Linked DNA regions of Neurospora crassa OR74A. The protein of the gene in region 2 interacts with the protein of the main gene of each other region in a pairwise test. Links are inferred from orthologs where the notes say so. Each region holds a gene or a part of one and is shown on either strand. Other genes may lie near its edges.

Region 1 (16,113 bases), about 2.7 Mb from region 2:
GCCTTAAAAGCAAACTTCAAGACGGCAATAAGCCCCCTTGTGCAACCCGGCATCTTCTCGTTCTTGGCCTTCATATCCGCATTCACCTGTGCCTCGATATCGAGCTCAAACTGCTCGACCCGGGTCTTGATCCCCTTGACCAAGTCCTTCTCCCTCTTCTTCCTCTTCTTCTTATCATCCTTATTGCCGTTCTTCTCATCCGAGGTATTCCTTCTCAGCACAGACGACAAGGACTCCGCCAAGCTCGACCTCTGGCTTCCTCCAACGCCGGCACCACCACCACCACCAGCACCCCGCAACAACGACGGTGGCGGCTCAAAAGTCTCCACGCGCGTAAACTGCTCATCAGCATGCGCCACCAGCACCAGTGCAGCAATGGCCACATCGATCAGGTACACTGCCTCGACATGGCTCGCAATCGCCGTATCAATCTCCAGCCATCCCTGGCCCGTCCCATCCCGCGTCAGCCGGCCCAGGTGGTTGGGCGACTCGATGTGCTCGAGCGTGTACTCGGTGCGGCTATAGGCCGCGTTGCGCTCGACCGTGATGCAGAATGGCATCGCCAGGGCCGCGTGCACCAGGTAGTGGTTGCCCGAATCCGAGTCCCATACCAGCCGGCCGCACTCATTCTCGGCTGCCGCCACCGTCGCCGCGTCGGTCGTGGCCCGGTCCGACACCAGGCGCGCCGCTGTGAGGGGCCATAGCTGTGCGACTAACCCGTCGTTGGGCGGCTGCTTGCGCGTGGCGGCCTCGAGGGTGGTGGAGATTACTTCTTGCCAGTGCTTCGCGTCGTGTTTCTTGGTCTTGGTGCTCTTGCTGCTGGCGCCGCCCAACGCCCCGCCGGAGCCGTTTGGGTTGCGGGAGAAGACGGATGAAGGACGGGGGGAGGGCGTGCTGGACGAGGCGCGGGCGCTCGGAATAGGCGAGGAGGACGCCGAAGAGGTGGAGGAAGAAGCAGAAGAGGCCACGGCCGAGGCGGCGGAGATTCCCACCGCCGCGCTGGTGGACTTGTCACCCTTGAAGGTCTTGTTGGGGTCGTAGCGCGAGAGCGAGACCAGGGCGGACGCAGAGGTCGGGTCGACCCGCAGGCAGTAGAAGGGCTGATTGGAGGATGAGGAGAGCGTGTAGACGGGCGCGTAGGCGTCCGACGCCATTTTCAGGCAGTATTTCCGGCCTTCGAGCTGCGTGGCTCGCCATCCGTTGGCGGCTTTCCAAAGACCACGAAGTTCCTCGGTGGTGTTCACCGTCGGTATCACTGGCGGCTCATGGCTGCGCGTTACAGGCCACCGTTGGTTGGCGGATCCAGAGGTCACGGACGGGTTGGCTACCGGCCGATTTCTGGGATGACTGGGACCATTTGTACCAGCATTGGTGCCAACTTCACTTTGCTGATCGGTGTCACGGGCTGAGTACATGGGTCTGCTGATGGCGGACTGGGGAATATGTGTAGGACTGGCCTGGGTAGGGTAGTAGTCCTGACGATCTAGGGGCAGTTCGGGGTTATATCGTGGGAATATCGATCGAATGGCAGCTGGCTGTGGTGGTTGTGGTGGTTGTGGTGGTTGTGGTGGTTGTGGTGGTTGTGGTGGTTCGGGGATGGAGGTAGGAGCTGCTACCGTTGCTGTGTTCAAAGGTCCAGGAGTATATGCAATCGGTGGGTTGGCGAACGAGCTTTGAGCTCCCCTACTTTGCTGCCCGACCAGCGTCTCTGCCTCGGACAGTGTCGTCTCACAGCGTGGAGGCGCGTCTGCTTCAGAGATGGGCGCAGCAACACTGGTTTCGACGATTGGATCCGATGACATGTTCTCAACTAGTGGTGGTCGCTGCGGTTGCTCCTGAGGTTGCTCTCGATGTTCCCGCTGCTGTCGAGCCGAGTCTAGCGCTGACTGCCAAGGGTTGTTGGAGTTTGAAGCCGACCTTTGCTTCCCTTCCCGTAGTACTACCCGTCCAATTGGCGATTGCCTTCCTGCCTCCCGGGACGATGATGGTTCTGTTGATGTCGAAGGTCGACCTTGAGGTGTCGCAGCTCTCGACGGCCTTGAAGGTGGTCTTGGTGTGACGTTGGTGTTGGGGAAGAGAGAGAACCCGCCTCCTGCCTGAGTTGTTGTCGTTGTTGACATATCTGATAGTGCGATCCTAATGATTCAACGGAGGTTATTCCAGGCGTAGTAGTGGTCGTTATTCGTAGGAATCGTCGATCTTCTTTCCTCTTCGTCTTCGTTGAACTCAATGACCGACCCACGAAAGGTCAATAGAGGTATCACAAGGAAATGGCAGTCGACCTGCTACCGAGACATGATCGCAGATCAAATAAAACGAATAAATCAAACCCAAGGATCTGTCAACAGATATCCGGACGATGGCATCAAACGGCTCCCGGGAGCAGAGAGCAGGGACAGGACCGGCGAGGCGGGAATAAGGTTGATAGAAGAACCAATCCGTCGGAACACGACAAGAAGATCTTGTCATCGGCACAGGAAGACTGGGCCCCCTCAATACATATTTGTTCTACCATGTGGTCTTGCCCTGCCGTGGGTGTCCGCAATCATACGCCTTACACAGTGCTCTTCCCGCTCTCGCTCCCAAGCTACACGCATTCTCTTAGACCCGGGCGAACTAGGGCTCACAGACCGGCATAAAGACCGACGCTACCACCCAAGAAAAGGTCACTGATCAGGGTGGAGGAAGAGCAGCAGCGCCGAGGAGGTGCAGCTCATTGCTGTGTGGTCTGCCCTGGCTGGCCCCATCCCTTCCGAGTGCGTGAGATCCTTCCAATCGCGATGTATTCTAAGCGCTTGGTTCCTGGCTTTCGATGTGGGCAACGACTCCAACGGGACGGGGGGGGGGCACCGTGGACTGAGAAGAGACCAGTGGTGGGAGTGGTTGTTGAACTTCCACTTGCGTTGGGTGGGCAGACAGGAGAGCTGTGTGAGTGGTCGGAAGCAACTGTACGGCGGGAAACTAGGTGAAAGATAGAAAGGAATAGCCGCCCAAAATAGCTGCTAGGATCAGTTCTGATCCATTCTGGGGAGTTGCCTGGGGTTACTGGGGTGGTGAGACCCTCTTGGACCCCTGGCTCCGATGAGACGGACTTGGGGGTGAGTGACCAATCAGCGACCGGATCACGCTGCATCTAGACGCCCTTTGTCAAAGTCGCATCGGGCAGCACTTGAGCGAGCAGCGACATCACATTTCACAAGAGTGTGTACCGTCCTCTGGCTGGCGGAAGTGGTTTCCATATCGACAACCTTTTCCAATGCCGCCAAGAAAGTTTGGTCTTTTCTTCACTGCGCTGACTGCCCGCTCTTTGCGTACCTCTACGCGCAGTTGCATTCCTGTCTCGGCCGTCATCCTGATTGAGTTCTTTCGTAGGAAGTCTTGGCATTTACTACATCTGGCAGTCGTTGATTGCTGTGAAAGTGTCATGCTTTGGACGATGCGGCAAGGTACTGATGGTGTCTTCATCTACGGTTAAGATGATTAAGATGATGAAGATCAGGTCCAGGCTCTGGTATACAGATGCAAGTGTGTCATCAAATCATACTACTTGCTCCCGTCCCGAGGGTATGTGACCCGACAATGTCACTTGGGTTGCTGTTCAACATAGTCAAATTTCAGTGATCTCCGCCCCAAAACCTCCTCGGCGCGATTCAGCTATCGCAGACACATGTGGCGGCTGTCTGATTGCGATCACGACTTATCAGCTGCCGATAGGGTCGTTGAAGCGCAATTTTGCCCTCGTGTTACCTATAACTAATGTACTAATGGATGGCCATCAGGAACGGCCGCCGCGTTGACAAGGTCGCTTCAGGTGGCCGCCTTTGCCGCCACGAACGGAATAACCGCGTTATCGCTGTCGAATGGGTACGGTGATAAAGACCATTTTCATTTCCGAGCGGCGTTGTGCAAATCAAGGAATATCCGTCCCGTGGAATGATGACCCTTTGTACATCGGCCGAGGGCTGGATAAGCTCACAGTCTGCACAGAAAACCCCCTTTTTTGCTTCTACACTCCTGGGCTGATTTCCAAGGTGAGACGGATCCTTACAAAAGTTCAACTAGGTTTCTCCGGTTCTGTATAAACCCAAAGGCTATTCTCAAGTACATATCGATGAACACGAGCTCCGTGGGCGGCTTGATCAATTCCGTCCTGGATTTAGTTCTCCTTCGCCGGTACGGAGATCCACGGAGACAGACGAGATGCGTCGCTCTTTACCGGGAACGAGAATCACCTGCGAGTCATAAGCGGCTGTTACTCGTCTTTTTTTTTTTTTTTTTTTTTTTTTTTTCATCACATACATAGATCCGCGCCGTTACTCTCCCCCCCCCCCCCCCCCCCCCGCACAAGTCAATGAGGCAACCTCATGAATTTCTATTATGGTACCGGCACGAGAGACTCCCGGATACAGTTACATCTGTTAGTTTCGCGATGTCGTGCGTGGGCACCATGCACAACTTCTTCATGGGTTGCGGTGAGCTGTTGTTGCCTACCTACCGATTCGTTTGCATGGGTGGATAGAAGAAGGAGTAGAAGAAGAAAAAACATGCTTCTATACATATCTTGACCATCCTTCCATTCTCTATCCTCGCAGTCCCGTCTTTGGAATTCGCGAACGAAGATCCACTCAGCGTGGGCATAGTGTACGGTTTTGGGGTGTGAGTTTTGACACTGATTTGAATGCAAGATCTTTGATGCGACATTCCACGAATATTTTCCCACTCTGTTGGATCTCAAAGCGAATGTACATAGTTGGCTGATTGCATGGACTGCTTGGTAGTTGCTGACTGAGCTTCTCTTTATTTAGGTCGTAGACTGGACTAGTTGCCTGACGCAAACTGTTTGACCATTTGTTCAAGTGAGAAGAAATTTGGTAAAGAGTAAATCGAGAATTTACGTTGGATTCTGAGAGAATAACTGAACCAAAAGAATGAAGAGTTCAAAAGACGTTGCCATGATTAGCCCTTATTTTACTATTATAGTCGCAGACGGGTGACCTAGTATAAAAGAGCGATGAACGATCTTGAGGTCTTATATCTTCCAGATTTTCCATTGGAGATACATGATGTCTACCTGTGGCATTCCAGACATGATTGTCTCCCCTCTTCCCCTTCTCTCTCCCTTTTCTTTTTCGCAGAACTTAGAAGAAACAGCAACCCTTTCCAGTCGCCTCCGGGGTCGATTTTCGGAGAACTGCCAATCCTTTGGTACAGTTCGGCCCAAAGTGGGGAATTCCGGGCGGTCTTCGAGCCGGCACGGGGCAGCCGCGCTCTTAGACCGGACTTTGTCCGTCAGGCTACCTCTATAAACAATCTAGTGCTGGTTTGTTTGTTAGCTCGGTAACTATCTCGGTACACTGGACGAGATCAATTTTGATTTCGAATATTCCCATACCGTGAAGTTGGATGAGTAGCTAGGTAGGAACCGGAAAGGCATTAGAGAAGATCCACAACGGTACCTATCTAAACTTCCGGAAGAAGCATATTCACAACCCCAATCTCACTTTAATCGAAGATTACAACGAATCGGCCAGAAATGACAACGCTCAGGGAAGTTAACCTGAGATCTTGAGCTAAGACACAAACCCGTATCGAACTGTACATACCTCTATGGACGGCTGACCGCACCGCATTCCTTCCATTTCCGGAATGCTTCCCGAGTCTGCCTTTAATGGTCATTCCACGTTTTCTAGCTCCTCTTGGCGTCGTGTGCCTGATTCTAATCGTGCTCTGCATATATGTGTGCGGCTTATCGTCCCATGAGCGACACGGTTGATTATCGTTGGCGATGATTGCGAAGACGGAGCCTTGTGTTGATATCAACCGTTGACGTATCTGAATAGTATAAAAGGTCCCCAAGAATCCTTGTTATTTTTGATATTGGCAATACCTTCACGACTTACAAGACTCAAGCATCGTCGTGTGAATTAGTCAATCCACTGATGCATTTGAGGTTTCCAACCACCACGACATATTCCCTCAGACCTTCTTCTACTCGAACCTCGCCGCCTCCTCTGATTGTGAGCTTCGCCCCAAGACATTCAATAGTGTCCTACACCACGAGTCCACGGAGATTATTTAGCATCATCATGTCTGAACCCAAGGGGCACGTCGTCGTTATCGGGTTAGTATGACATCTGATGCATCATGAATAGCAAATCATTGCTCTGCCCTGGATAATCTAACATGACTCCCAAAATCCAAGCGCCGGCGTAATCGGCCTGTCCTCCGCCCTCGCCCTCCTCGAAGCCAACTACGCCACCACCATCCTCGCCAAAGACCTTCCTGCCCCCTTTGAATCCATCGATCCCCGATCCCAAATCAACTTCACCTCCCCCTGGGGCGGCGCCCACAACCGCTGGGTGCCCCCCTTCCCACCCTCCTCCTCCTCCTCCTCTACTCCTTTAACCCCCACCCAACAAGCCGAGCACGCCCTCCGCATCCGCGAACACGCCTTTTCCCTCTCCACCTTCCACCGCATGCAACTTTTCCAGAGCCAGGGCCAGGACCAACAGGCGGGCATCACCTTCCTCAAGGGAATCGAATACCTCGAATCTCCGGGGCCCGAGTACACCTCCCTGACCCCTCAGCGGGCGTCACAAGAGCTAGGACTACCCGGCCACTTTCGCGTGCTGGAGACTCACGAGTTCCCCGATGACAAGGTTCAATGGGGCTGCGAGTACGACACGTGGTGCGTGAATCCGATGCAATACTGCTTGTTCCTTTTGGGGCAGATCATTGCCAGGGGCGGGAAGGTGTTTAAGCGGGACGTGCGTTCTGTTGCGGAAGTGTTCCAGTTATTCTCCGACTCGGTCCAAGAATTCGGAGCGACAATCCCCCCAGCGGACGCGGTGGTGAACGCCACCGGCATCGGATTAGGTGACGACGAGATGGTGTTCCCCACGCGGGGACAGACGTGCTTGGTCCAGGAACCGTGCGATGCGACGGTGACGAGACAGAATGCGGATGGGACCTGGACGTTTTGTGTACCCAGAGGGTTCAAGGCGGGCACCATTATCGGCGGCACCAAGGAGCCAGATAATTGGGATCCGAAGCCGGATCCGGAGGTAAGGGAGAGGTTGTTGAGGGCGTTTGAGGGGACGTATCCGAGGATATTGGCAGATGGGAAGACGCGGTTGACGCCGGTGAGGGATATCGTGGGGAGGAGGCCGACGAGGAAAGGGGGGTTGAGGCTGGAGGGGGAGGTGGTGGATGGGGCTGGTTTCGTGATGCATGCCTATGGGTTGGGAGGGAGAGGGTATGAGTTGTCTTGGGGTGTGGCGGAGGGTGTGATTGAGGGCATTCAGGGGCATCTTGAGAGCGAGAAGGGTTCGAGGTTGTAGACCCACGGCTCGATGTATAAGTCAACATATGCCATGAAATTGAGTTTTCACTTCACAGACTTCTTGCTGAAAGGGCATTCTAGTCCCATCATTATTCTTGTCTATCGTATGTTGACGTTCTAAGCTCTGTATGGGCACCTGGCCCTTCATTCCGTCACCCCCGGTCAATTAGTTAGTAGAACTACCGTGGCCAGGGCTCCCGTCCCTGTGTTTATCGGCAGCTTCAACCAGTTGGTACCCCTGCATCAGTCTTGATAGGGTTCTTCATCATCATCCTCCTCATCGCTGCCAATATCGTCATCTTCGATGCCCTGCTTGAAGATCACCTTCTCTGCCAACTGCAAGGTTTTCCTAACCGGCAACCCAACAACATTGTCCACGCTACCCTCAATCTTGTCAATCAGCACCATACCTCCGATTCCCTGGATGGCATAGCCGCCAGCCTTATCCGCACCCTCGCGCGTCTTGACGTAGGCCTCAATTACGTCATCGGGCAGTCCGTCACGAGCCTGCGCAAAGTAAACCTCGGTGTCTTCCACGTGCGTCTCTAGCTCATATCCCGGATGGGCTGCGTTGTCCTTTGGGGCGAGCACGCACACAGCCGTCAGCACACGGTGCACACGCGTGTCGCGAAGGTGTTTCAGCATGCGGATGTGGTCCTGCTCGTCGCGCGGCTTCTCGAGGATCCGACCGGAGCGTGTAGCGATGACGGTGTCGGCGGAGATGACAAGGGCTGGATCGGCAGGCCTCTCTACGTTCTTGTTCTGCTCGTCTTCTTCTTGTTGCCTGAGGGCCTGCTCGTACACGTGCAGGATTTTGCGGCGGGCCGTCTCGGCAACATATTCTTCGGGAGTAATCTTGCCCTTTTCGACGTCTTCGGGCTTGTCTGATGGGAATATTTCGACGTCGTGCAAGCCAAGCTGTTTGGTAAACTTGTTAGACTTGAGTAGACCGTAGTATAAAGATGATGACTTACCTGGTTGAGGAGAGCTTTTCGTCGAGGCGATGCCGACGCCAAAATCACCCTCTTGGTACGTAGATGATCAAGGATGGGAAGCTGAAGGGGCATAGGGCCCCGTTTGATGGGGGCGCTCTGCCGGAGTGGTATTCCATGCCGGCGGGCTGCGGCGATGTAAGCCGGTGGGTTCTCGGGTTCAGGAGCAGTGGGATCCATGGCTGGTTATCTGCTTGGGTTATAGGAAAGTAACTAGGACGATGTTTTGCCAAAAGTTGTAGGTAGAGGTAGCAACCTCAATGTAATGGGATAGGAGTTGGAACGGGTATGGTGCCCCTGGCAGCGGTGGAGAGCTCCCGGTCCCGTTGGTGCCGGTGGGGGAGGGGCTCAGGGCCGCTGTTCCCTAGCGCTGCTTCAAGTGCTGGGGGGACTGGAAGGTGCCCGGCGATCGTCTTGTGTCAAGGAACCGCAGGAAGCTCTGGAAGTGGTGCACGACAGGGGAGATAACAAAAGCCAACTGGAGGAAGAAATGGTAGCCCCACTTCACTTTCCCATGTACATACACTAGCGGCGGCACTGCGTCATCGCCGGCACTTGCTCAACGTGCTGTGATCAGCCTTGTCTGACCGGCACTACAAAGCAAAACAAGCAAGTCACAATTTTTGAGATATTGGACGGATTGCACGACTGAGAATACCGAGAGACAAAGTAGGAGACCTCGTACGACGCGGAGACAAAGTGGTAGCTTACGCAGAACGGCAGGCAATCGTTCATTCGTATGCATCTACCTTGGTCTTCATGAATTGCAGCAGCTCCTCAGGCGTCATGACGAGGTTCTTCTGCGCCGGCTTGTCGCCTGTCTGAAGACCGCCGGTAGCATCAACCGTGACAGTGCCATTGGCAATATCCTTGGGGCCAACCACGATGATCATACCATAACCCTTGGTCTTGGCCTCGCGAATCTTGAGCGACAGACTGCGCGCACTGTCATCGAGGTCGACAGCAAGGCCCGACGGGGATACGTGAACATCTGCAGAGTCTGTACCCAGCAGCACCTTCTGCGTATTGCGCGCGAATTGTAACACCGGCTCACTGTCGTTTACTGTGAGGACAATGCCCTGTCTGGGGTTCAGCCAAAATGGCCATTTGCCATTATAGTGCTCAATCAGCAAAGCGAACATGCGCTCCGCCGAGCCTAGGACAGCCCGGTGGATCATAACAGGTCTCACGGGTCCGGAGACAGCAAGGAGCTCGGGGTCCGTAGTTGTCTCACCCTTGGCCTCCAGTTCGGGAGCTGGCGCCTGATACTCGAGCTCGAACCGCTTGGGCAGCTGGAAGTCGAGCTGGATGGTGGCCGTCTGATGTTCCTTTCCGTCCGAGTCCTTGAGGATTACATCGATCTTGGGCCCGTAAAAGGCACCATCTCCCTCGTTCAAGGTCCATGGCTCTCCCGAATTGTCCAGCGCTCGTTTCAAGGATCCTTCTGCATGCTCCCAATCCTCCAGACTACCGATATGGTTTTCGGGTCTCGTGGAAAGCTTCAAACGATACGATCCCAGGCGGAAGTCCTTGTATACGCGTCGAATGAATTCGAGGGTCTTGCTGATTTCGTCCTCGATCTGATTCGGTCGACAGAAAATATGGCCGTCGTCTTGGTGAAATCTGCGAACACGGGTAAGGCCACTCAATGCGCCCGAAATTTCGTTACGGTGGAGGGGGCTAAAGTCGGCGTAGCGAATGGGGAGGTCGCGATAGCTCCGTTTTTGCGCCGCGAATATCAGACAATGGCCAGGGCAGTTCATGGGTTTGAGTCCGTACTCGTCGGCTTCGCCGGCCTCGGTAACATCGGCGCGCGAGGGGGATGTGCTCGTGACGGTAAACATGTCGTCGGCGTAGTTCTCGAGATGGCCCGACTTGGCCCAGAGCGCCTTCTTGTAGATGGTCGGGGTAATGACTTCCTGAAAGCCATAGTGAACGTATTGCTTGCGGAGGTATTCGACAAGACGGTTGAAGATGCGGGCGCCATTGGGCAGGAAGATGGGCGATCCAGGGCTGTAGATCGAGGTCATGAACAGCTCCTGTTGTGTTCCGAGATCGCGATGGTCGGGCGCTGCTGGCTTCGTGGGGACGGGGTTCGCGCTGGCGCAAGACGAGCACAGCCGATGGCGCACCTGGACTTGGGAGATGGCAGGACGAGCGAGCGGTACCCTAGCTCGGGTCAAAAGAGCCCGCGAAGTCCATCTTGTAAGCCGTGGAGAGAGCATCCTCCCGTCGCCTCTCCACACTGTCAGGATGTGCGGTCGTCGTTAAGAGGTGTTGGAATTGGGTGTGATCACGGGAAACCCGACTTTTCCAGACAGAATGGCGGCTGGCTTCTTTGTCGCGCTTGTCTTGGCGACAGCGATCGGCTCATCCCATGTGCCCCTGCCGCTGCAAGGGGTCCCCGCCCTGGGTGGGAGCTTCCATTGTGGACACCACTGCACTGGGCCAGCCCTCCAACCTCAACCCCGGGCAGCTCGGGGCCGTTTACCGTCAACACACCTCAGTGGGGCACCTGTCTGCCGGGCGGGGGCAGGTGACTTGGGGTGATAGGTACCTACCTTTATATGTAAGTGAGACACGCGGTGCTGGCCGTCGTGAATCGTGATTCTTCTCGACGTCACTCACCACTTCAATGTTCACCGAGTCACCGTCCTGCCTGCTGCTCTCTGTGACCGACCGAAGTCGACGATACAAAGCAAGGTCACCAGAACTCTTTCTTTCTTCACATCATCCCGTCCTGTGACAGGATACTTATGCGCTGCGGCACATACACACACTGTAGCAGCGTGCATCGGTACCTTACACCACCTTGACTTGACGTTTGGTTGCCTTCTCCCTCCTCTTCTCCGCCTACCCTACAGTTTAACCTTCACCTAGTCCATTTCCGTCGCATTCCAGTTGCTTGGTTTAACGACATCTCACTCAGCCTCATCTCTCCAGGGCTATTTGCTGGACTATCAAAGAACATACCCATCTCCCCTGTTCTTCTATACATCCTGTACCCGCAGAACAGTTACCTCTGATCTCACGCGCCTCAGCTGATAGTTCCGTTTTCACCACTTATCCCCGTGTATCGGTGCCTTATCGTGACTCCTCTACACGGTATTAGCCTATGCGCCCCTTGCTTTTGAGCGACTTGAAGCCTGGAGTCGACTTCGCGGTAAACAAAGAACCAGTTATCAGTTGCCATTAAGAATTGGCCGAGTCCCCCCGCTGTCAACAATCAAATCAAACCAGGACACCTACAAGAAGCACTGTTGCCTAAGTGCACACACACCAACCAACAATCCCGACGTCTTGGATCTTTACGCTCCATGTTATCGCGATCCCATCTCTATAAAACCTTGACTTCGCAACTTTCATCATAGCTTCCCCACGAGCTCATTCCATGGTGTTTATGTAACCATGTCGGGACGTCAACCACCAGGGCAGCCGCCCAATGTATCGAGTTCGTGGCGCATGGTCGAGGGAGGCGAGAATGATAGCTTCGACACCTCATTGATGCCCGACGACTATGATGGCAACGATATGATCCTGTCCAGCCAAAGCGATCACTCGCATATAGAGGGGAGCCAGCCCTTCAGTTTGGACGGATCTCAGCCATTCAGTATAGGAGGGTCACAGGACGAGAGTCTCGAGAGTTTCCTACACAGAGCCGAGGACGACGATCAAGTCATCATGAGAACTCCCTTCCGGCCTTCAATTCCACAATCTGTCCGGCACGCTTCTCGCGAAAACATGAGACACCGGATCCAGCCATCACCACAGGAGTTTTACATGCCCATGGTCGATGTAGATAGCAGACTTGTCGACAGCCGACGATCCAGTGCACGGTCGTCCATGACAGTGCGACAGTTTCCGCCTTCGCTGCCTGGTCTACGCCACCGACAAACACATCGTTCCGGCCGTCACCCATCAACAGACTTCCGTAAGGATCATCATTCGTCAGGGGAGGAGACCGAAGTCAATGCGGATATTGAGGAGAGGGTCGAAGAAATGAGGAGGTCTAGACTTGGGACATCAAAACGACAACAGGCGCCAGAGATTCAGGGGTTTTTTGACCGATTTTTCGACTCGGTACCGGATGCCGTTTTCAACACTTTTTCTTGGGCCTTGGGAGTCGTTGGCCTTGCGTTCAAATATGCGCAAAAACCCATCGCCATTCTGGCAGCTGTGTATCTCATCTTTGGACTCCTTTCGATGGTCCAGAACATGGCGACATTATCCCTCTATACGGCCTTATCACCAGTATGTCGTGTACCAGGCGCAAAATGGCTCAACCTGCCATTCTGTCTCGATATGTCCGCGAAAACAAACACGCACATCCAGTTCGACCCTGTGATAGAGATTCAGGATCGCTTTGAGGGGGTTCTAGAAAAAGCTGCCGAAAGTGCTTCGCTGCCTTTGGAGATGAAGCGCTCCGAGCTAGCCATCCGTGACCTGCGTACCATGGTTCGCTACAGCCAGCTTCACGGCAAAGAACAACTGATACTTGAATTTGACGGGTACATCGACGCCGCTAGCTCGGCAACTTGGGATCTTCAAAGGTTCAACACCCGCGTGGGATCAACAATAGATTCCATAATCAGCGTCAACCGATGGACATCTCGGTACATCGATGAACTATCAGATGACATGAAGCACCGCGGCATCTTGGGCGAGTGGTGGGACTGGGTCTTCTCCCCCTTTCAGCCATCCACCTACACGGAGCGCAAGCTTCTGGACCAGTACATCGACCACACGATCCGCGTCTCGGACAAAATTGCCAACCTGATAAGGGAAGCGCAAGCCGTCCTGATTACGTTGCAGAGGGCGGAAGACCACCTCGAAGTCATATACGATTTCGTGACTAGAACTCAGGAACACATACAGGCAAAGAAGGAGGAGGTCTTTTGGGAATTGTGGACCTACATCGGCATCAAATCCGAGAACCGCAAGAGCTACAACAACCAGCTGGCGCTGCTTAGGAAGGTTGAGGACCAGCGCTCGGAAGCCGTGAAACAGGTCAGCGAACTCATTGTTGAGCTGCAGAACATTCAGGTCAGCCTGAACGGGCTAAGAGACCGGGTTGGAGAGCCGGAGGTGGCGAGGGATGCTGGTCTTGAGATACCGCTATATGTACATGTCGAAACTATTGATAGGGGAGTTGAAAGGCTGGAATCGGCGAGGAATAAGATAAGGGATGTCGAGAATGAGCGTGTGCGGGAGGCGTTGGCTAGGGGGAAAGAGGAGTTGCCGGAGTTGGAGGCAAAGGCGTACAATAGACGTATTCCTGGTCTTGGTTGGTAGACAATGTCAAGGTCGCAAATGGCAGGTTACATATGTTGGAGCAGGATGAGAGTATTCCTCGAAGCGTTCTACATGTACTTTCATATCTCAGGGGTAGTTTGGGAGTCGGGGGAGTTTGGAGTTCAAATTTCACACATTAGCTTGCTGTATAGATGAGTTTCTTGGAAACAAAATCCAAGGAGGAAATTCGCATACGCAATATCCTCAATCCATCATGTTACTCGTGGTACAGATGGTGTTTTGCTTTTTCTTTGTCAGTGCAAGTGTGACTACCCCTATCATCGTTGCTGGTGCCCTTTGGAGTTGTAAACAACGAAAAGGTTACATGTACTGAGCTGTTACAAACAATATCCGCCTTATCAGTAAAAGTGTGCGGGGTACAGCAATCTCTGGGACAACATCCCACCGCAGTCGGTGTCTTTTACCGCGGCCGCATCTAGAACGTTGGATGGAAGCGGACTGATAAGCAGCTGGTACAGAACCACGCGGGGGTTAAAACTACTAGCAGTCCTCGATGTTAGTGTCATTGGGGCAGAGGACGTCACTGTTCTCTTTTTCCTGACCTCGTTTATTGTCGAACTTGGATCGAAACTCTCGTCAACATCGACAGGAACAAGATGCATCTGATTCCCAAAGAGGTTAGTGGTAGTTGTTTTGTTGTGTGCCCCCGTTGATCCTTCACATCTGCGTTTTACAAGGAGACCAAGACACCTCAGATCACGGTTCAAACAAACGAAGGAGTTACGGACATCGATCAACATTGTGTGTATAAAAGCGCAAGATGGCACTGTTTTACCCTGTGTGACTAGGCTGGACTCTATCCGGAGTGTGACGACTTCATAAGAAGGATTCATCCCAAATAGCAGCAAGTCCGCATCACTAACCTATTGACAAAATCGTGTCTTGCTTTCCCCTTGACAGCTCGATAAGCTCGCCATCTCTCAGCTAGGATTCCTAGCTCAAAGACGTCTAGCAAGAGGTATAAAACTGAACCATTCCGAAGCCACTGTAAGTTTCTCTCTTCCAGATCCTTTTCCTCCTCACTTTCGCCTCACTATAACACAACCCACTCACCAACCCAGGCGCTCATCGCCAACAACCTCCAAGAGCTCATACGCGATGGCAACCACACCGTTGCCGACCTCATGGCACTGGGCGCCACCATGCTCGGCCGCCGCCACGTCTTGCCCGAAGTGACCTCGACCCTGCACGAGATTCAAGTCGAGGGCACTTTCCCTTCCGGAACGTACCTGGTCACCGTGCACAACCCCATCAGCAGCGACGACGGTGACCTCGCTCGCGCCCTGTACGGCAGCTTCCTGCCGATCCCGCCCAATGACGACTCCGTTTTTCCCTTGCCTCCTGCCGCCGCCTACGAAGCCAGCAAGCAGCCCGGCGCCGTGGTTTGCGTCAAGGAGGCCAAGGTCAAGTTGAACGAGGGCCGGAAACGCATCCGTCTTCGTGTGACCAGCAAGGGAGACCGTCCGATTCAAGTCGGTAGCCACTACCACTTCATCGAGACGAATCCGCAGCTGGAGTTCGACAGGGCGCGGGCGTACGGGTATCGGCTGGACATTCCCGCCGGCACTTCCGTGCGGTTCGAGCCCGGCGACACCAAGACGGTCACGCTGGTGGAGATTGGCGGCAACAAGGTCATCAGGGGCGGCAACAACCTGGCCTCAGGCAAGCTTGACTTGACAAGGGCGGAAGAGATCATTGCCAAGTTGCAGAAGGCCGGGTTTGCCCACGCGCCGGAGGAGCCGGTGGGCGATGCGGCGGCATTCATCAGCGAGCCGTTTACCATGGACCGGAGGGCGTACGCGGTCATGTTTGGCCCGACGGTGGGTGATATGGTGAGGCTGGGAGCTACGGATCTGTGGATCAAGGTCGAGAAGGATTACACTGTTTACGGGGACGAATGTAAATTCGGCGGCGGCAAGACCCTGCGCGAGGGCATGGGGCAGGCGACGGGTAGGTCGGATGAGGAGACGCTGGATATGGTGGTGACGAACGCGTTGGTGGTGGATTGGACGGGCATCTACAAGGCGGATATTGGTGTCAAGGCTGGTGTCATTGTGGGCATTGGCAAAGCTGGTAACCCGGATGTAATGGACGGTGTTACGCCGGGCATGATTGTGGGAAGTTGTACGGATGTGGTGGCGGGAGAGGGCAAGATCATCACGGCGGGAGGTATTGATACGCATATTCACTTCATCTGCCCTCAACAGGCGGCTGAGGCTCTGGCTGCTGGTATCACTACTTTCCTTGGTGGTGGAACTGGTCCAAGGTATGCTTTTCTCTCTTTCCCTTGCTTCTCCCCCTTTTGTCAACATATCACGAAACTAACTTCCACCTCCCAGCGCCGGTACAAACGCAACCACCTGCACCCCCGGCGCCCATTACATGCGCCAAATGCTTCAAGCCTGCGACTCGCTCCCTCTCAACATCGGGATAACCGGCAAAGGCAACGACAGCTCCCCCTCCGCC
Region 2 (16,916 bases):
AATGTGATCGCCTAGCTGGAGTGTCATGTCCGAGACAATCGAAAAAAGCGTGGCACTCTGGAGCAAATATCCACCAAGAGACAAGAAGCGAATGAACGCAGCGGGCCTCTCCAGGTCCTTCCCAGCGTCTACCTTCAGGGAGATAACATACACATCCATCCTGGCGCACCTTTGGGCGCCCGAGTCTGCATTGCCCGGAACAAGATCCGTAGCAGCGGGAAAACAGCCCGGAGGCAACGAGTGCGGTAGGCAGAAGGATGTGGTTGTAACATGTAGCCCGACAAGGCTGGAACAAGGAAAAGACCATTCACTTTGTGGGCTATGAAACCGATGATGCGAACGAGCGAGAAAAGATTGCAGTGGCCGTTGTGGGTAAGACCGGTGATATGGGCATCCACAAGACTGCAGGGTTCGGGCTTGGTGTTCTTTTGAGACTTAGTCCTACCCACAGCGGCAACAGGCGAGATCAAACCACTAGTCTAGGTAACGGCTAAAGAGCTGAGATGGTCGGAGATCGACGACGAGCTATAGAGCAAACATCGCAAACAACCGATTAAGCGACCGAGGGAGGAAATGACAATCGTAAGTCAAAACCGTATCCAATTTCTGACAGATCCAAAGGACGATTTCGATATTCGCTTGGCGGATTGGCGGCATCCAATGGGCATCCAATGGGTAGGAATTGGCAGGCCATTGGCAGATATTGGCAGGTATTGGCAGTTGTTGGCAGTCTCGGCAGACTGGTGTGTGTCTTGGAACGTCCTGCACTTGGTTCCGTATTGCTGTTGCTCGCCGAAGATGCTTGCTCCATCGTCATTGCTCAGAATAACCAACAACTTGCTCTTCCAGCAATGGAAGCCCTCAAACCTGATTCTACAGGTCGACGGCGAGTGCGGTGGAAGAGATGCAACTTCAAACTGTGTCTGAACAAGAATCTAGACGACACAAGAAATTGCAAAGTTCGTCTAAACCGGTTCAGATCCGTTAAACAATCCTGTTGCCGGGTGAGTGAAAGCCACCGCTAAACCCTCTTCCCTGAATTTCGCAAAGGCCATTGATCTGGGCTGATGCCATTTCGCTGACTGTCAAAGTCTCCGAAAGAACCCACAACCTGTGAGCATGAGAATTATCCCATGAGCACAAACTCAATTACGTGATCTTCTGGATGAATTGGGGATACCGTATGATTTCGTCGAGAAGCAGGGTTACAGCTGTGCCATTTGCCTCTACAGCCACGTACATACAGCCGAACGTAGCCGGCAGACCTTTAGCCCCACAGAATCCGCACAATCATGCCTCATCTGTAACCCGCGGTTGACGAGATCATACGGCATGCTGTGCGCAATCAGGGCGGGATGTCTTTTGGTTGTGGTGCTGAAGAGCCTTGATTCACAAGGATGGTTTGTTTCTGTTGGTTGTTATGTGGCGACTTCGCATTGTGAGCTGACACAACTTAACATTGGCGGTTGTAGTTTATAAGGATCGTGGTACTCTGTCGAGGATGTCATTTACAGAGCTGGCTAACCCTGCATACCTAGACTGAACCTCATCATGTATGTAAGCAGTGGTAGGTCTATGACTATGAATCGCCTGTTCTTTTGTATGCATTTTTGACCGGAGAGTATGCACAGCATCTCTGTCATCAGCTGTATGCCGAAGACTTTGGACTGATGTTTCTGGAAGCCAACGGGCTTTGTAGAGGCTCACACCGCGACATTACATACTTCTGAGCATATCAATCAGACGATGTCGATGTGCCCCTGCAAGGTATAGGCGCGTCGATGTTGGGCAATCACGATTCCACAATCGGATGACCAGTTCAGAGCGCGACAAGAGAGTAGAAGAGATGGGTAGAAAATGAGAAAAGGGCTCGTTCGACCCTCATGGACGCTGGGTACCATTATCATGACGACTTGATTTTGTAAAGTCGGAAGCACCAAATATCATTTCTTGATCGTTCAGTCGTCAGTCTCTGATTGTTGTAACAACCTCGACAGCCCTGACCACAAGAAGACAAGGACCCAAAGCGCGCCAAGGCATCATGGTACTCCACAGTGTTCATGACCTGGATCCCACCGAAGGGACAGTGCGGCTGTACCGATTCGAGAATTCCCCAGTTGTCCTGGTCCCGAAGCCATCCAACGACCCAAACGATCCCCTGTTTTGGAGCCGGGGCAAGAAGAGGGTCGCTTTCCTATCGGTATGTTGGTTCGCTTTCTTAACCAACTTCGGCATCGGAGGCTTGACACCTGCCTTCTATCTCCTCTCCCTGGAATTCGGAAAGACACAAGCAGAGACCGGCGCCCTGCTGCTATGGCCCGTCCTCACACTCGGCGCCTCCAACTTCTTCTGGGTACCCATTGCCAACTATTGGGGCAAACGGCCAGTGTTATTTTTCGCGTGCGGGCTGCTCTGCGCGTGCTCCATGTGGGGAGCCGTGGCTGAAACGTTCGAGTCCTTACTATCGTCCCTCATCGTTGCAGCGTTTGCTGGATCGTCGACAGAAACCCTTGGAGCGAGCATGTTAAACGACCTGTACTTCTTGCACGAACGGGGTTCTGTGATGAGTACCTATATGACCTTCCTCTCGGGAGGGAACACCATCGGTCCACTCATTTGTGGCTTCATCGTGTCGAAGTACAGTTGGAGATGGCATAAGTGGCTGACCTTCATTCTGGCTGTCCCCAACTTCTTGGCGGTTGCTTTCCTGGTGCCCGAGACAACTTATGTCCGCTACAGCCTAAGGGCAGTTGACTTCGACTCGGGAACCAGTCGAGGACCGACTCCAAGGCTAGTCAGTCGCTCGAATGCGGAAAAGGGGCTCGGGTTCGGAAATGCTCAGGGAGCTCGTTCACATCTGGGCGACACTGATGAGAGCGACGCCGGTGTGAATCTTCCAAAGAAGTGCTGGGCAGAAGAGATTGGACTATGGCCTGTAGTCTCTCGTGACACCCCCCTCTGGCGGTTGTTCATCCGACCCTTCCCCTTGTGGTTATATCCTTGCGTCATTTTTGCCTTTCTTGCATATGCAATTTCGCTGGAGATGACGGTGGCCGTGAACATCCTAAATCCCTTTGTGTTTCAGGCACCGCCGTATAACTGGTCGCCCATGGTCAACGGTTTGATCAACATCCCAGGACTCATTGGTAACCTCTTCGGCAGCGTATTGGGCGGCTGGGCGGTTGACAAGTTTTGCGACTGGAAGACCAGGCGCAACAATGGCGTTTACGAACCAGAGAATCGACTGTGGCTCTGCATCGTACCTCTGATCATCAGCGGCTCGGGCTGCTTGGTGTTCGGATATGGCATTGAAAAGGCAATGGGCTGGGTCAGCCTGTTCTTTGGATATGGTATGATGTCGGTAGCATTGACGGCGGTGCCGACCATCACCATGGCCTATGTCTCGGACTGTCTGCTTCCACTAAACTCGGATGCTCTTATGCTTGTCAATGGTAAGAAGCAGCATGAGTCCCTCCTGGTTGAGTAACCTTGCTAATCACGGCACGATGTCAATAGGAACAAAGCATATTGTAAGCTTCTTCTTCGCGGCGTCGGTCTTGATCTGGGTCCAGATGGTGGGTTATGTTGAGGCTTTCGGAACAACGGCAGGCGTATTTGCGCTCATAGTGGGCGGAGGTATGGCAGTGTTGATTCCCTTTGGTGCGAGAATCAGGCACCGTCAAGCAACCTGGCGTATCATCCTGTGATGAGCGAAAGTTGTAAGAAGATGAAGAGGTAGTCAAGCCCAGATTGTCGGTGGTTGGATCATGGGATACACTGCGGCAAGGAGTTCCTTCAGTCAATGCATTTATCGTCCATTGTGGGCATCGATATCCTTCGGGTTGCACGTTGAGTTTCGCAGAAGGAATTTGATGAGCAGATAGATTTAGGGTGGGGGGAAAAGGGAAATCAAGCAGGAGACAATGGGTGAGCTAGATGACGTGTACACGATGTAGTGTGGTGACTCGATCCGCGAGAGTTGCTTTGTCAAAGAAAATTGGCGGTTGGAAGGTTGAAGGATGAGAAAAATGATAAGGTTGCAGAAGACCTGCGAAACTGGGATGGCCTGCGTGGTCCCGCAAGGCTGATCAGAAAGTGGAACGTGCTCCACTGAAGAGGACGCTTACATCGAGCATTCCGTGGATTATGCAACACTTCGGATTCCGTCACGCGTAAGAAGTCAGGGAATATTTACTTTGACAATTTGATATAGAAATACAAGACTTGGCTCATCAATGCTCGCAGTTTTACTTCATGTTGATCATGACTCTTTACTTATCGGGAAGAGGACATCTGACGAATCAACTTCCTGGAACTCTGAGCAGAAGTCACCGTCTTGGCATAACATGAGTGACCAATCACAAAACGCTTTATTCTGCTCTTTCATGCAAGGCTGAGAAAGGCGGGGCATTTCTTCTGGGAAATTTCGTGATCGACCAGTGCAACTCGGTTTGGCAAACCGACCTGCAGTTGGCCATACGCCACACCTTCTCTAAATCCAATCAACAGACCCATTTCAGACTGGGCATTGACGCTCACAACCAGCCAGGGCATTGTCTTTGTCCCGTCACGAGTCCCTTTTTTTCTTCCAAATTGTTGCGTCTCGGTCACCAGAACCACCACACGAAATTCCTAATCACCACCAGCACACGATGGCCGACCGCGACAAGATCCAGATCCTCAAGGATGCGCTTTACGAGGCGGCGAGGGACCACGGTTCCGATCAGCGTCTCTTCACGCAGCGGGACCTGTTGGACATGCAGGTCATCCCCCAAGACAATATCGGGTTGCTCATGCAGGTGATCCAAATTCTCTGCGATGAGAAGCTCTTTGTCGGCAACACCACGGCATCGGGGCTGTCGTGGAGATGGCGAAGCCGGGAGGATGCAAAGAAGTGCGTTACTACCTTTCTTTTTTCTTTTTAGGACACAACCGAGCACACCAACTAACCTCCCCTTCCTCCCAAAAGGTACACCTCCCTCCCCAACTCCGAAATAATGATGGTATACGCCATGGTCGACGAAGCCGGGGCCGACGGCATCTGGAACCGGACCATCAAGAACAAGCTCAACATGGCCGACTCGCTTATGAAGCATTGCATCAAGTATCTCGAGCAAAAGGGCTACATCGCCAGCATGAAGAACGTCGAGCACCCCAACAAGAAGATGTACATCAAGGCGAACCTACGTCCCTCCGATCGCGCCACAGGTGGCCCCTGGTTTACTGAGGGCGAGCTCGACACGGCCTTCATCAACGAGCTACAGGAAATTGTGTTTGACTTTATCAAGCAGAAATCGACATATACTTCCCACGGCGGCGGTGCTGGAGTACCAGGAGTAGGAGCACAAGGAGGAGGAGCACAGCAGCGTGAAAAGAATCCCAAGAAGGGCGTGGTTCAGGGGACCATTCCCCACTCGGAGGATATTTCCAAGGGGACGAAGCGCAGCGCGGGCGAGATTTCCAACGACGACACGGCGGCACCGGCACCGGCCAAGAAGACCAGGCCCGGCAAGCCGCAATTGCTGCCTCTCCCGGCCGGTTACAAGTCGTACCCGACTGTGTCGGACATTGCAAAGTTCATCCACCACGCCGGCATCACGAATAATACGACGTTGAGCGAGGCGGATATCCAGCAGTTGGTGGATGTGCTATACTACGATGGCTTAGTAGAGCCTGTCAAGGTCAATGGGCGCAAGGGGTACCGTGTGACGCGCATCCCCAAACAGGATCCGAGGACGTGCAATCAACGACGCCTCGACCATGATCCAACCAAAGGAGGCATTGTTACCTCATTTATGGGAGTTGAGCCGAGTGCAAGTGGCCTTATGGAGGCGCCTTGTGGGCGGTGCCCTGTCTATGATATGTGCGAGGAAGGCGGACCTGTCAGCCCCAGCAACTGCGTCTATTTCAGACGGTGGCTGGATGGTGACGAGGTACAGGAACAAGTCATTTCGATCTGATCGACTCGAATGTGTTTGTGTCTCCGTTTAGAAGACGTTGCATGGTCTCTATCACAACTGCATTAACGGCGTAAAAAAAAAGAAGGCAAGGGTAATTTGGTTTCATCTAGGCGTTGGAGGTAATCTGTTTAGCATTCAATGTGTTGGCGATAACATTCACATGACCTGCAAACTGTCTAGGAAAAGACATCAGTTTACGTGATCTCATCAACCATCAGTTTGCGTAATCACATCAACCATCAAAGCGACAGTGATGACGATGCAGTGAAGAAGGGTGGGTGTGCAGCGCAGGAAATCCATTTTGATGGGCTATCTAGATATTATAGCAGCACATTCATATGAATATTATGGTACCGCGACTCCAATCCCTAAAACCCTCGACAATGTCCACAAGGGAATTTAGAGAGCGCCGCAGTCGACAATGGTGGGCTTCTTGGAGTAACGAATAGCACCGCTGCTGGAGCCAGTAGCCTCAAGGGCCTTGACGACCTTCATGGACTCATCGTCAGCGACCTCGCCGAAGACGACGTGGCGGCCATCGAGCCAGCTGGTGGGGACAGTGGTGACGAAGAACTGGGAGCCGTTGGTGTTGGGGCCGGCGTTGGCCATGGAGAGAAGACCAGGGCGGACGTGCTTCTTGGCGAAGTTCTCATCGGCGAACTTCTCGCCGTAGATGGACTTGCCACCAGTGCCCTGTTCAGAGAGGTTAGGTCTTTATTTTCCCATGTTCGATAGCTTGTTGGGCGGACATGGACTTACGTTACCACGGGTGAAGTCACCACCCTGGAGCATGAACTCGGGGATAATGCGGTGGAAAGAAGAGCCCTTGTAGCCGAAGCCGTTCTGGCCAGTGCAGAGCTCCTTGAAGTTGCGGGCGGTCTTGGGGACAACGTCGTCGTAGAGGGTGAAGTTAATGCGGCCAGACTGAGCTGCATTGGGAGTTAGACATCCGATGGGCATGACATGACAGTTGACGGGCGGGGCCGGGGGGAGGGCGGTGAGGCTGAGTGGTGCGGGCGTTATGATTCAGGGGCACCGGTATGGAGGGGTAGTTCAGGAGCTTGCGGGCTGCGGCAACACCGGGACGACGCCGTGCTCATTGCGAACAACGACAGACGTCCAGGTGAAGTCCCAGCGACCGTCGCAAGTTTCCTGAGCCTGATTGATGAAGACAAAGCAGATGAGGAGAGTAGACTTACCCTTGATTTCGCTGGTGGGCTTGTTGTTGGGGCCGAGGACGGGACCCTCCCACTCGAGATCGAAGAAACTAAAGCATGCAGGTCAGTCGGTGTCCCTGAAGCTACGGGTAGGTAGGCGCAGCTCCCATGTTTGCGCGGACCTGGAGAAGCGGCTGGACTTACACCTTGGACATGATGCTGGATGTTTGCGAAAAAGCTCTGGCGCAGGAGAAAGTTGCAGTGGGCTTGAGAGATGACGAGAAAGTCGAGGAGACGAGAGAACCTGTTGTCTTAAGGACAGAGAAATGGCGGGGTCCAAACATTTTCACTAAAATGGAAAGGAGGGGTCAGCCAATCCGAGAAGTGGGGGGCGGAGAAGGTACGTAGCTGCTCGCCACGTGATTGATTGTTGCGACTCGAGCTGTCGGCCTGTCGCCACGCCGCCTGTTTCGGTCTCGTTTGCCAGTGCGGCGGGAGACGACGAAACAGCAGGTCAGCTTGACAACGTGGAGTGGTATGAGCCTCTGCAAGTGTCATCTTTGGCGCATGTGGGCTTCGGATTGGTTCGTTGGCTCAGGAACACCAGTACGAACAAGTAAACAGCTGCCATCTGGTGTTGGCGCTTCCCCCCCGAGTCTCCAAGGTCCCGTCGGCCCTGACGCTGACGGCAATGACAATCAAAACTGCCACCACCCGTGTGTGTATAGTTGGCAGCTAAAGCGCTGGCAAGAGCTATCCAAAGACATCCGGGCCAAAGGACCGTAGACCCATGGCTCCATCATATGGCTTGTTGGGTCTTCATAGCGTTGCGATTGCCTCTTTCATTTGGAGTCCCCCTCTGTCAATGCAGCCATTGACGACATTGCGGAGCCATGGACGATACCCCAAGCCGAACAAGAGGGATGGACGGCATTAACGACCTTGATGGCCATGTCTGGGGTAGGGACCAAAAGGCGGTGGTGGTATTGTCAAACTAACAAACCTCACCCCTCATCTCGAGCGTGGATGGAAAAAAGGACATTCGAATTGAATCTGATGCCAAGAAATCCCGGGAATGGAAGCTCTCAGAGCTCTGCCACAGATAGAGCTTGGAGCTTTGGGCAAGCTCCCAGCCGGCAGGGAGAGCTCCTCTAGACAGAAAAGGCTCAAGAAGAACATGGCAACAAAAGTAAAAATGATAACGTACCGGTTGTGGAAGATGAAATCCTGGATGATTGTAGGATGATAATGAAGCTAAAAGTACAAGGTAAAGTCCGAACAAACGAACGATGGAAATCTGCTACACGGCGATGGATGCACAACAAAGACCTGAGACGAGAGGGAGAACGGAGTCGGGTCGGGTGTTTAACAATTTTTACTCCATCCAAAATGCATGGAAGCGAGCTCCGGCGGCCGAGCGTCCCCTCCCGCCGCCCCGCGTTGTCGGCCGGCCCGGCAATTACAAGCAGAATTCTTGCCTGAAAACTCAGGCTTCAAAGAGCTGAGACGCTCGTGCCAAGCTTTCAAAGTCTTGGCAGACCTCCTGGGTTCCACTGGCTTCTTGGTGTCAGGGTGTTGGGTCAAGCGCAGGGGTCGGCCTTGGACGGCGTCAGTTGAGGTCAGCGCTCAGCGGCACCCTGACGCTAGGCCACCTCAATGTCCATCTGATCCCGACAAGACCGTGAAACGTCGCCCTGAAAGCGATCAGCCCGAACAAAAACCACCAAGTCGCCACAGCATCCCGCCCGTCTGGCAATCATCACCGCGAGGCTCAGATTGGATCTAGAGAAGAATTACCTTAGCCCATCAGAACAATTCCCAGCAACTCCGGCGATAGACACGTTTACGCAATGGATTTCAATAGCCTCAAGGATACCGTGTCCAACCTGACACTCTACGACATCAAGGCTGGCGTACGAAAGGTTCAAAATGGTAGGTGACCACCTAGTCCAGAACCAAGACTCCCTCATGATTTCGTGTTCAGGGTGCTGACAATGGCTCCAACCAGCTGTCATGAACTATACCGAGATGGAGTCCAAGGTATGCCCGTATCCACGCGCCACACTGGCACCATTCTCTTGCGCCCTTCGCCATATACTTGATCCCAGACAAGAGACCATGGAACGGGAGCTGACAGCGAACCCAGGTGCGCGAGGCCACCAACAATGAACCTTGGGGTGCATCGTCGACTTTGATGCAAGAGATCGCCGATGGCACCTTCAACTAGTACGTTCTCGAGAACTGCTCGCTTGTATACGAACGCGGCTAACTTGCGTTTCCCTCCTTGTTCTTAGCCAAACACTCAACGAAATCATGCCCATGATTTACCGCCGTTTCACAGAAAAGTCCGCCGAAGAATGGCGCCAGATCTACAAGGCCCTTCAACTACTAGAGTACCTGATTAAGCACGGTTCCGAACGAGTGGTGGACGATGCTCGGTCGCATCTTACCCTCCTCAAGATGCTGCGCCAGTTCCATTTTATCGACCAGAACGGCAAAGACCAGGGTATCAACGTCCGCAACCGCGCCAAGGAACTCGCCGAGCTCCTCAGCGATGTCGAGCGTATCCGAGCAGAGCGCAAGAAGGCCCGCGCAAACAAGGGCAAGTTCACGGGCATTTCGGGTGGAATGAGCTTCTCCAGCGGGAGCAGCGGACGTTATGGCGGTTTCGGCAACACTTCGTATGGCGGTAGCAGCAGTGGTGGCGGTGGTAGCAGCTCTACCTACGGTGGCTATTCTGGAGGAGTTTATGGCGACGGAGGTGTTTTTGGTGGCCAGCCTTCCAACAACGACTACCGCGGGACCCAGGCACGGGCAGAGCAGTTTGAGGAATACGATGCAGGTGATTTGGACGCTGAGGCGTCGTCTCGTACCGCGCCAAGGACACCACGATCCACGACAGAAAGAGCCGGGGTCAAGAAAACAACAGCACCCGCCGAGCCGCCCAAGAAAAAGGAGCCCGAGATCGACTTGTTTTCCTTCGACGAGCCCGCAGCGCCATCCATCCCGACCGCGCCCCTCGCTGCCGCACCTTCCAACGGCTCTGGGCTTGCGGCTCTAGCCGGCGGCGCCAAAGACGACGACGACGAGTTCGATGATTTCCAGTCTGCAGCCCCCGCCACGCAGCCTGCTTCTGCAATTTCTCCCCCAATCGCCCCCCTCTCTACTGGCACACAGTTTGTTGCCCCGCAACCAGTTTCGGCGCCTCAGCAGGCCAACCTTAGCGGCATGGTTGCCCTCTCCTCCATCTCTCCTCCTCCCAGCTCCACGGCGACTCCTGCTGCCAACTTCTCGGCTTTCTCCACGCCCCTTTCGCCCGTCTCCCAGGCTCCCAAGCCAACTGGCTTCCAAGCCGGTCAGCCAAACTACTTTTCCCCGGTACAGCTGCAGACCCAGTCCACCGGGTCCTCGCTTTCAGGAACCAAGGCAACCGGTTCAGCTGCCTCCAAGCCAGCCGCTGGCGGTGACGCCTTCGGTGCGCTGTGGTCGCAGGCTAGTGCTGGAATCAAGAAGAGCACGCCTACCACCAAGGGTCCGGCTATCGGACAACTGGCCAAAGAGAAGAGTAGTGCTGGTATTTGGGGAACTCCTGCGCCCTCCACTCCGACCAGCGGTAGCAGGCCCACCACTGGCGGCAACCACGGGTTGGACGATCTGCTCGGTTAATTACCTGACTGGGTGTGAGGAGTTTTCCAAGGAGTATTTAGAACCGCTGTCGTCTACTTACGGAAGCGGGATCCTTGGAGTAGATCAAGGGTGTGCAGTTACACAAAGAGGAGATGAGCAGTTAAACGATTTATATTCCACGTAATGTTATTGGAGGTAGGGGTGGGTATCTTGCAGCGCCTCTCGTCTGCAACAAAATTTCACGTCTATTTATGCTGCATTCGGCTTCTTTGTGTTTGTCACGTTTTGTTTCCGCGTGCGAGTCCCTCAAAGAGTGAACTGATCCGTAACTTAAGTCCCCGTATACACTCATCCTCACCTTCACAATTCCAGAAGACCCAAGCCGGCTGTTGAGTCGCTCATGGTCAAGTAACCCGATGTTGCGGTCGATCTGTTGTTTTATCTTGTGGAATTCGCATAGCTTCCATCCCTGATGTTCGTTTGATGGAACTTTTACCACTGAAGCTCCTTGCCTTCTTTATTGGCTTCACTTCTGGCCCGTTATGAACTGGTGAACCCCCTCAACCCCCCCCCCCCCCCCCCCCCCCCCCCCCCTTTTCCGTCTGTCTTTATTTTTCTGGCATATCAGCCTCCTCGAATGGTTTGAACAACCGTAAGGCTGGAGCATCATCCCAACATGCAGTCCATCAACATGAGCTAGAATACTTCATCCAATAGTGAGTTCATGGATCGCAAAGTATGTGTCCAGTGACTCAAGCCTCCGCACTCGCCCTCGGCTCGGTATGACGGCGCAAGGCCAGCCTCGAACACCCTCGACCCACCGATCACAACCTCAACAGTCGATCAGTCATTACCACCAAAATGATTAATGACTACGAGCACCAAAGCGCACACTCATGGCCAATGCGTCGAAACGTCTGTTGCCGTGAGCAACACGGAAAAATCACAGATCAGTGGCTTTGATCTTGGAACCGTGCTCAACATCTATTTAATTCTCTCTACCATGCAGACGCTCTACTTATTTTTTTCTGGTCCAATTCTTTCCCTCGAGTTTCCCATTCTGCGACATAAATAATGCAGCCGCCTGGATGCGTGCCATATTAATTCAAGTCAATTTCTTTACAAACTGACCTACATGATTGATAGCCCGTCAGGAACGGGAACCGCATATCAAGGATTATTGCTCTTTGACTATAATCTCTCTACACTCACTGACGACATTTCTTTTGGGGACTTTTCAAGCCCGTGAGATCAACATGGGCTCCTCTTCCCCTGGCACGACGCCTATCCGGAACTTTGAGTCCCTTACTCCCCAATGCTTCTATAGCTATGTCTTTCTTTTTTCCCGTTTCTTATTGATTATAGCGCTTTCCACCATGGCCGGGATAGCTGGCAGCTTGCTTGGTAACATGACTAAAGCAGGTGAATCACCAGCCACAAGCCTCGTGGCTCTCATGATCCTGGTATGTTCAACTCCTTTGTTTCTTTCTAACCCTTGAGACGCTAACGAAATCTACAGACATCTGCTTCACTCCTCTGGTGCCTCTTCTCCCTGTCCGGCTACTCCCGTCGCCACTTTCCCTACAAAGTCACTATCGTCACCGACCTAATTTTCCTCATTGCCTTTGGTGTTTTCTCGGTCCTCCTCGGCCTTCCCATGCACGATGGCGGTACAAAGTGCCCTCGAGTCAAAGCAGAGGGTGGCTTTGTCCTCCGAGCCGGCCCATTGGGGGTCCTGAATTTCTCTAGCGAACCAAACGATCGTGTGTCATGCACGAAAATCTATCTTTTCTGGGTCCTTATGCTGGTTGACTGCGCGTCATTCGTCCTAAGCGCTGCCTCGGTCGGGGTTATCGCGTCTGAGGAGACGCAGTTCAACAAAGCACTATTGTGCGCAAGGGCAATGAGTGGTCCGGTGGGTGACATCGACTATCATCGCCGTCCGTCCGAGATCTCTGTGGCGGGATTGGAGGAGGTTGTTTCTGGAGCCGAGCAGCAGTTCCGGCCACGGCCGAATATGCACGTCAGAAAACGGAGTCTAGATTCCGGGAACGTAGCTCATGGCGAAGGCAGGAGCGGCGGTGGTACCTACCACCAAGCGGACACAGTATCTGGAAACCCATATCGGGTCGACACGACAAGTAGACTCGGTACGGGCTCAAGCCGGTACGACTGCTCCCCAAGAGTCGACAGCTCGCTTGGTTCCGGTTCCGACCACGAAGCGACTTCAGGACGCTCACTTGGCAACCCAGTGCTCCAAAGAGGGAGCGACCTGATCAACACCTACAACCGCAGTTAGGGACGCGGCGGGGGTGGGGGCGCATGGACATCGTCAAGTCGGGAAGGAGCAGCAGGACCAGGGGAGCAGCAGAGTCCCAACCAGAGCCAGCAACAACACTGCCGAGCAGAAGGACTTGCAAACAATCGGGAACTTGTCACCGAACCACCACCCAAGCCAGTTTCCATTACCGTTCTCCAAGCGCGCAGTGACGCTCTGGACCAGTTGGAAGGCCGATCATCGGCATCCATTGATTTGGCTGATGCTCCTTATTACCGAGACCTGTATGCCCACTTCGCTCAACCGAGGAAGCCTTCCGGCCCCGGCCCCGGCCCCGGCGCCGTACCCGATAATGACAGCCGGGCAACACCTTTCACCAACACCAACCGGTACAATCCACAAGAGCAAACACACAGGAAGTGGAAAAAACAACGCCCCTCCGGGATCATATTCCTACCGTCCAGCTCCGACATTCCGTCCAGCCCGATCCACCATCCCCATTCCGGTCCCGATCCTGATCCGGTGTCGACGGTCAAACCCAACATCTACACCTCCAACCACAACTCAAAAACCACCCAAATCCACCCAACCCAAGCACGAACCCGATCACAGACGCAAACACGCAGACAACACGACTCCTACACCTCCTCCGTCGACTCCAGCCCCTCCAACTACGACGACACCCGGTTCAACCACCGTGACCTTCCCTCGCCCGTTGGTCTAGACCCTCCACCTCGCTCTTCTCTAGGCGCCATCGAGTTGAAGTACAGCCTACCGCCGAGACCAAGGACGACTTTGCGACTGGTGGACCAAGAAACCTTGAATAAGTTGGAGGGCATAAATGAGGAGAAGGAGGAGGTTGGGAGTGCCATTGTGCACATGGACGGGTGGCATGGGCATGGGGATGCGGTTATTGAGTTGAATGAGATTCCTATTTTACCTGTACCTGCTGTATCGCCGGGTAGGAGGGCACCGGGGACACAGCTAGATGGGCGGACAGAGAGAAAACAACAAGTGTGGGAATGGGAGTGGGGGCAACGATCGAAACAACAAGAAGTAGAACAGACACAGAGCGCGGGAAGAAGGGCTGCTGGAGAGGCTAGAGGGGCAAGGAGTACACGATGGCCTGCTGCTGTCTGGGGTGTTGGTTTAGGTTCAGTACATGGACGACGCGATGATGATAATGATGATGAGCAGTGCGATACAAGTAGTAAGCATCGTGGCGGCGTTTTCAAAGCTAGGTCAACCAGGTTGTTCTCGACTATTGGAGCGTGGTTGAATGGTATTGATGGTAATGATATTAGGAATGATGGAACTTGCCAGCGGGATGGCTATGAACTTGAACTGCGGTCGGAGCATGGGAGAGGAGGTCACCCGTGGGATATGGTTTAGAAATAGGGCACTGATGATCTGGAGGTAGACAAACAGAGAGAGTGAAAAGCTCAGCGCATGCATGCTCTTTGTTCACTAATACATGGCCTTCATCGTACGGATTTTTTTTCCCATCACCATATCTCCACTGCCTTGACCTGTGAATTCCTCCCCTCTTCACCCTCCCCCTCTTCCAGGTTCCTACGTGCCCAAATCAGCTTTCAACAACGTCGTGAGTCCAACTTATCGCCCATTTCGCCACCGACTCGTTCCAACCTCCGATGCACTTCGACCTTTTTTAATTGATCTATACTACTGATGGTAGTAGTATTATCCTTTGCCAATGTACTGTATTGCGATCCTTTTCCTGTGAACCCTAATACAGTAATATGTCACCCAGCTCCTGATTATCCCTCCCGCTCTTTCCATCATTTCCATTTGACAACGGGCTCGAAGAATTTCACCTAAGTCACGGCTATGACTTGCTAAATGTATTTTCTACCCTCTCGTGATTGGAAAAAAAAAAAAAGTCAATCAGAGCAGCATGGCTGGTACACAACGAAGACAAGTTGAGACAGGTAAGGAGTATCACCTTTTGCCTTGACCTCGTGACAAGGATGGGTTACTTGTTCTGCATTAAACTAGTGTATTCAGCTAAAGTCTCAACGCTACGTAGGCAGAGGTAGAGTCACGGATTAGATACGAGCTCTCGGTCGGTATTAAAATGTCAGTCAGTCAGTGCACCGAGAGCTATACGATAACTGCCCAGGGCACCACCCTCCGTGCGCTCTTTTAGAAACTCGAGGAAAATCAGTTGGTGACGGCCCGCTGATGGCAGGGACTGGACCTCTTGATTGTTGAGAAGCCCTTCCGTAGTAAGGCAAGTAAAACTTCTGTCAATGTTCTTTTTGCTCCATCGCGTACATCTTTTTCTCTGTTTGTAATGAAGTGGTTATGCCCCAGCGTTGATTTCTACGAGAGAATTGTCCGGACAGTACCTAAACACTCTTACGCGGTCAATTCCAGGCTGAAAAGAGTGGAAGCAAAACGAGTGATGGTGTCTTCGTTGTCTTTCGGCACCTTTCTCGGCGTCGTTTCGGCGTTGTGTACATTTGCTCTTTTTGTGAAAAAGGCTGTGATACTTATAGTATGTCGCTGGGTTTCGCTGATTAGCATTGATTTCTGATGATATTTTGTTGTTGGCTACCATAGTAGCGGCTTGCTGCTCAAAGGTAATCAGGACTATGATTGATCGGTACGTACCTATACTTCATGTAATCTGTTGCTCAATGCTGCATCCGTTAAAAAACACCAATCCGCTGTCATATCCCAATGCCTAATCCAACATCCAGCCATCTCGTTCGATTCGTTCTGTATTCTTCCGCAATGGTGAATTGGGGTGAAGGCATGCTGATAGCCATAGACGGCCCCATGGGACAACACGGTCCGCCTTTTAGCCCATCACAGCCTCTCTTTAACCAAGACCGGAATTGAAGATCGGGTGGAGGAATAACAAACCTTCCATCTGGCCGACTTCCATTACATTCAACCGATAAACCCTCGTCTCAAGAACCTGGTGTGGACACCTCTGAAAAGAGAAGGCAGATTTGGGCAGCCACGCAGTTCTTCTTGAATTCCCGGGTCTCCAAACTTCCACCGTGCCAAATAGAAAAGAATGCTCCCAAACACGGCAACGGTGACGGATACTAGAAGGTAGAACCCAAGGCCGACGTCAAGGTTGGCGTCAGTGTCCACGTAAGTGAGTTCGAATGTGTCCAAATCCATATTGAGGAATGCTTGGAGGACGTAGTCGACAGCTTGGTGATAGGCGGTGTCCTCACGACAAGCGAAATCCAGTACGCTGGTTATTGCGAAGATAATAAAAGAGAAAGTAACCGATGCGGCGCGCATCGTTAGCCTGACTGTGCGAATGAAGGACTTTATCGGGAAGAACTGATGGGGCCAGTTAGTGTGAGCATATTCTGAGGAGTCGTAGGTGAGGCTCCATACCATGGTGCGGCCTTGAGAACCGGGCTCTCCTACATCATGCTGTAGTGAAGTGTTGGGTGAAATTGAGGAATGCTGATAATTTCATATGCTGCGTTATGTTGTGTGTTGAATACGTGACTGTCGTATACTGATACAGCGCGGGGATAATTTGCATTCAAGGCGGTCATAGAAAAGAAGAAAAAAAAAAAAGAAAAAAAAAAGAAATCTCATCAAACGCAGAACGGACTTCGCGTTGCTCTCCCGGGCCTCGCGAGTGTCCTGTAGCCGGACTGGTACAAAAATCAAGCAGGCGGGGTGTTTGGGCGGCATATCGGCCAGCCAGACAGCCAACACTCTCTTCCTGCCTAAAACCCAAGCTGGCACTTCCTCAATAATGCCGGTACCGTCTGCTCCTATTGCCATAGTTGTAGTACCCTGACCGTGACCCCCCATAATAGTACGTGCTGGTATCTCGTACTTGGCTAATCCCCAACTGGTCAGCAACATTCACGTATCCTTCCGAGGTTGGCCTCC

Evidence for each region.
Region 1: the proteins of NCU00725 (region 2) and NCU03130 interact in a two-hybrid assay, tested with the Saccharomyces cerevisiae proteins (2 studies listed by BioGRID). The link is inferred for Neurospora crassa OR74A from reciprocal best matches to the Saccharomyces cerevisiae genes ENT3 and YOR111W.

The regions. Positions count from the first base shown.
Region 1 is NC_026501.1:4,658,576-4,674,688, reverse strand, and holds NCU03130 (hypothetical protein), read right to left. Parts: upstream 8,584-16,113; 5' UTR 8,515-8,583; coding exon 8,317-8,514; intron 8,261-8,316; coding exon 7,586-8,260; 3' UTR 7,403-7,585; downstream 1-7,402. Other genes in the region: NCU03132 (hypothetical protein), read right to left, coding at 1-2,120; NCU03131 (FAD dependent oxidoreductase superfamily protein), read left to right, coding at 5,940-6,121, 6,203-7,340; NCU03129 (threonyl-tRNA synthetase), read right to left, coding at 9,066-10,559; NCU03128 (hypothetical protein), read left to right, coding at 11,743-13,626; NCU03127 (urease Ure), read left to right, coding at 14,244-14,264, 14,548-14,634, 14,709-15,913, 15,987-16,113. UniProt on the Saccharomyces cerevisiae protein: Nucleoside triphosphate pyrophosphatase that hydrolyzes dTTP and UTP. Can also hydrolyze the modified nucleotides 5-methyl-UTP (m(5)UTP) and pseudo-UTP. Has weak activity with CTP.
Region 2 is NC_026501.1:7,397,871-7,414,786, forward strand, and holds NCU00725 (epsin-3), read left to right. Parts: upstream 1-8,742; 5' UTR 8,743-8,967; coding exon 8,968-9,049; intron 9,050-9,125; coding exon 9,126-9,157; intron 9,158-9,263; coding exon 9,264-9,343; intron 9,344-9,411; coding exon 9,412-10,783; 3' UTR 10,784-11,079; downstream 11,080-16,916. Other genes in the region: NCU00728 (hypothetical protein), read left to right, coding at 2,042-3,487; NCU00727 (hypothetical protein), read left to right, coding at 4,653-4,894, 4,970-5,960; csr-1 (peptidyl-prolyl cis-trans isomerase), read right to left, coding at 6,360-6,653, 6,720-6,889, 7,160-7,227, 7,322-7,461; NCU00724 (hypothetical protein), read left to right, coding at 12,121-12,207, 12,264-13,038, 13,153-14,232, 14,327-14,442; NCU00723 (Znf1p), read right to left, coding at 16,771-16,916. UniProt on the Saccharomyces cerevisiae protein: Involved in the recruitment of clathrin to the Golgi network and endosomes to form clathrin coated vesicles. Plays a role in the trafficking of clathrin between the Golgi network and endosomes.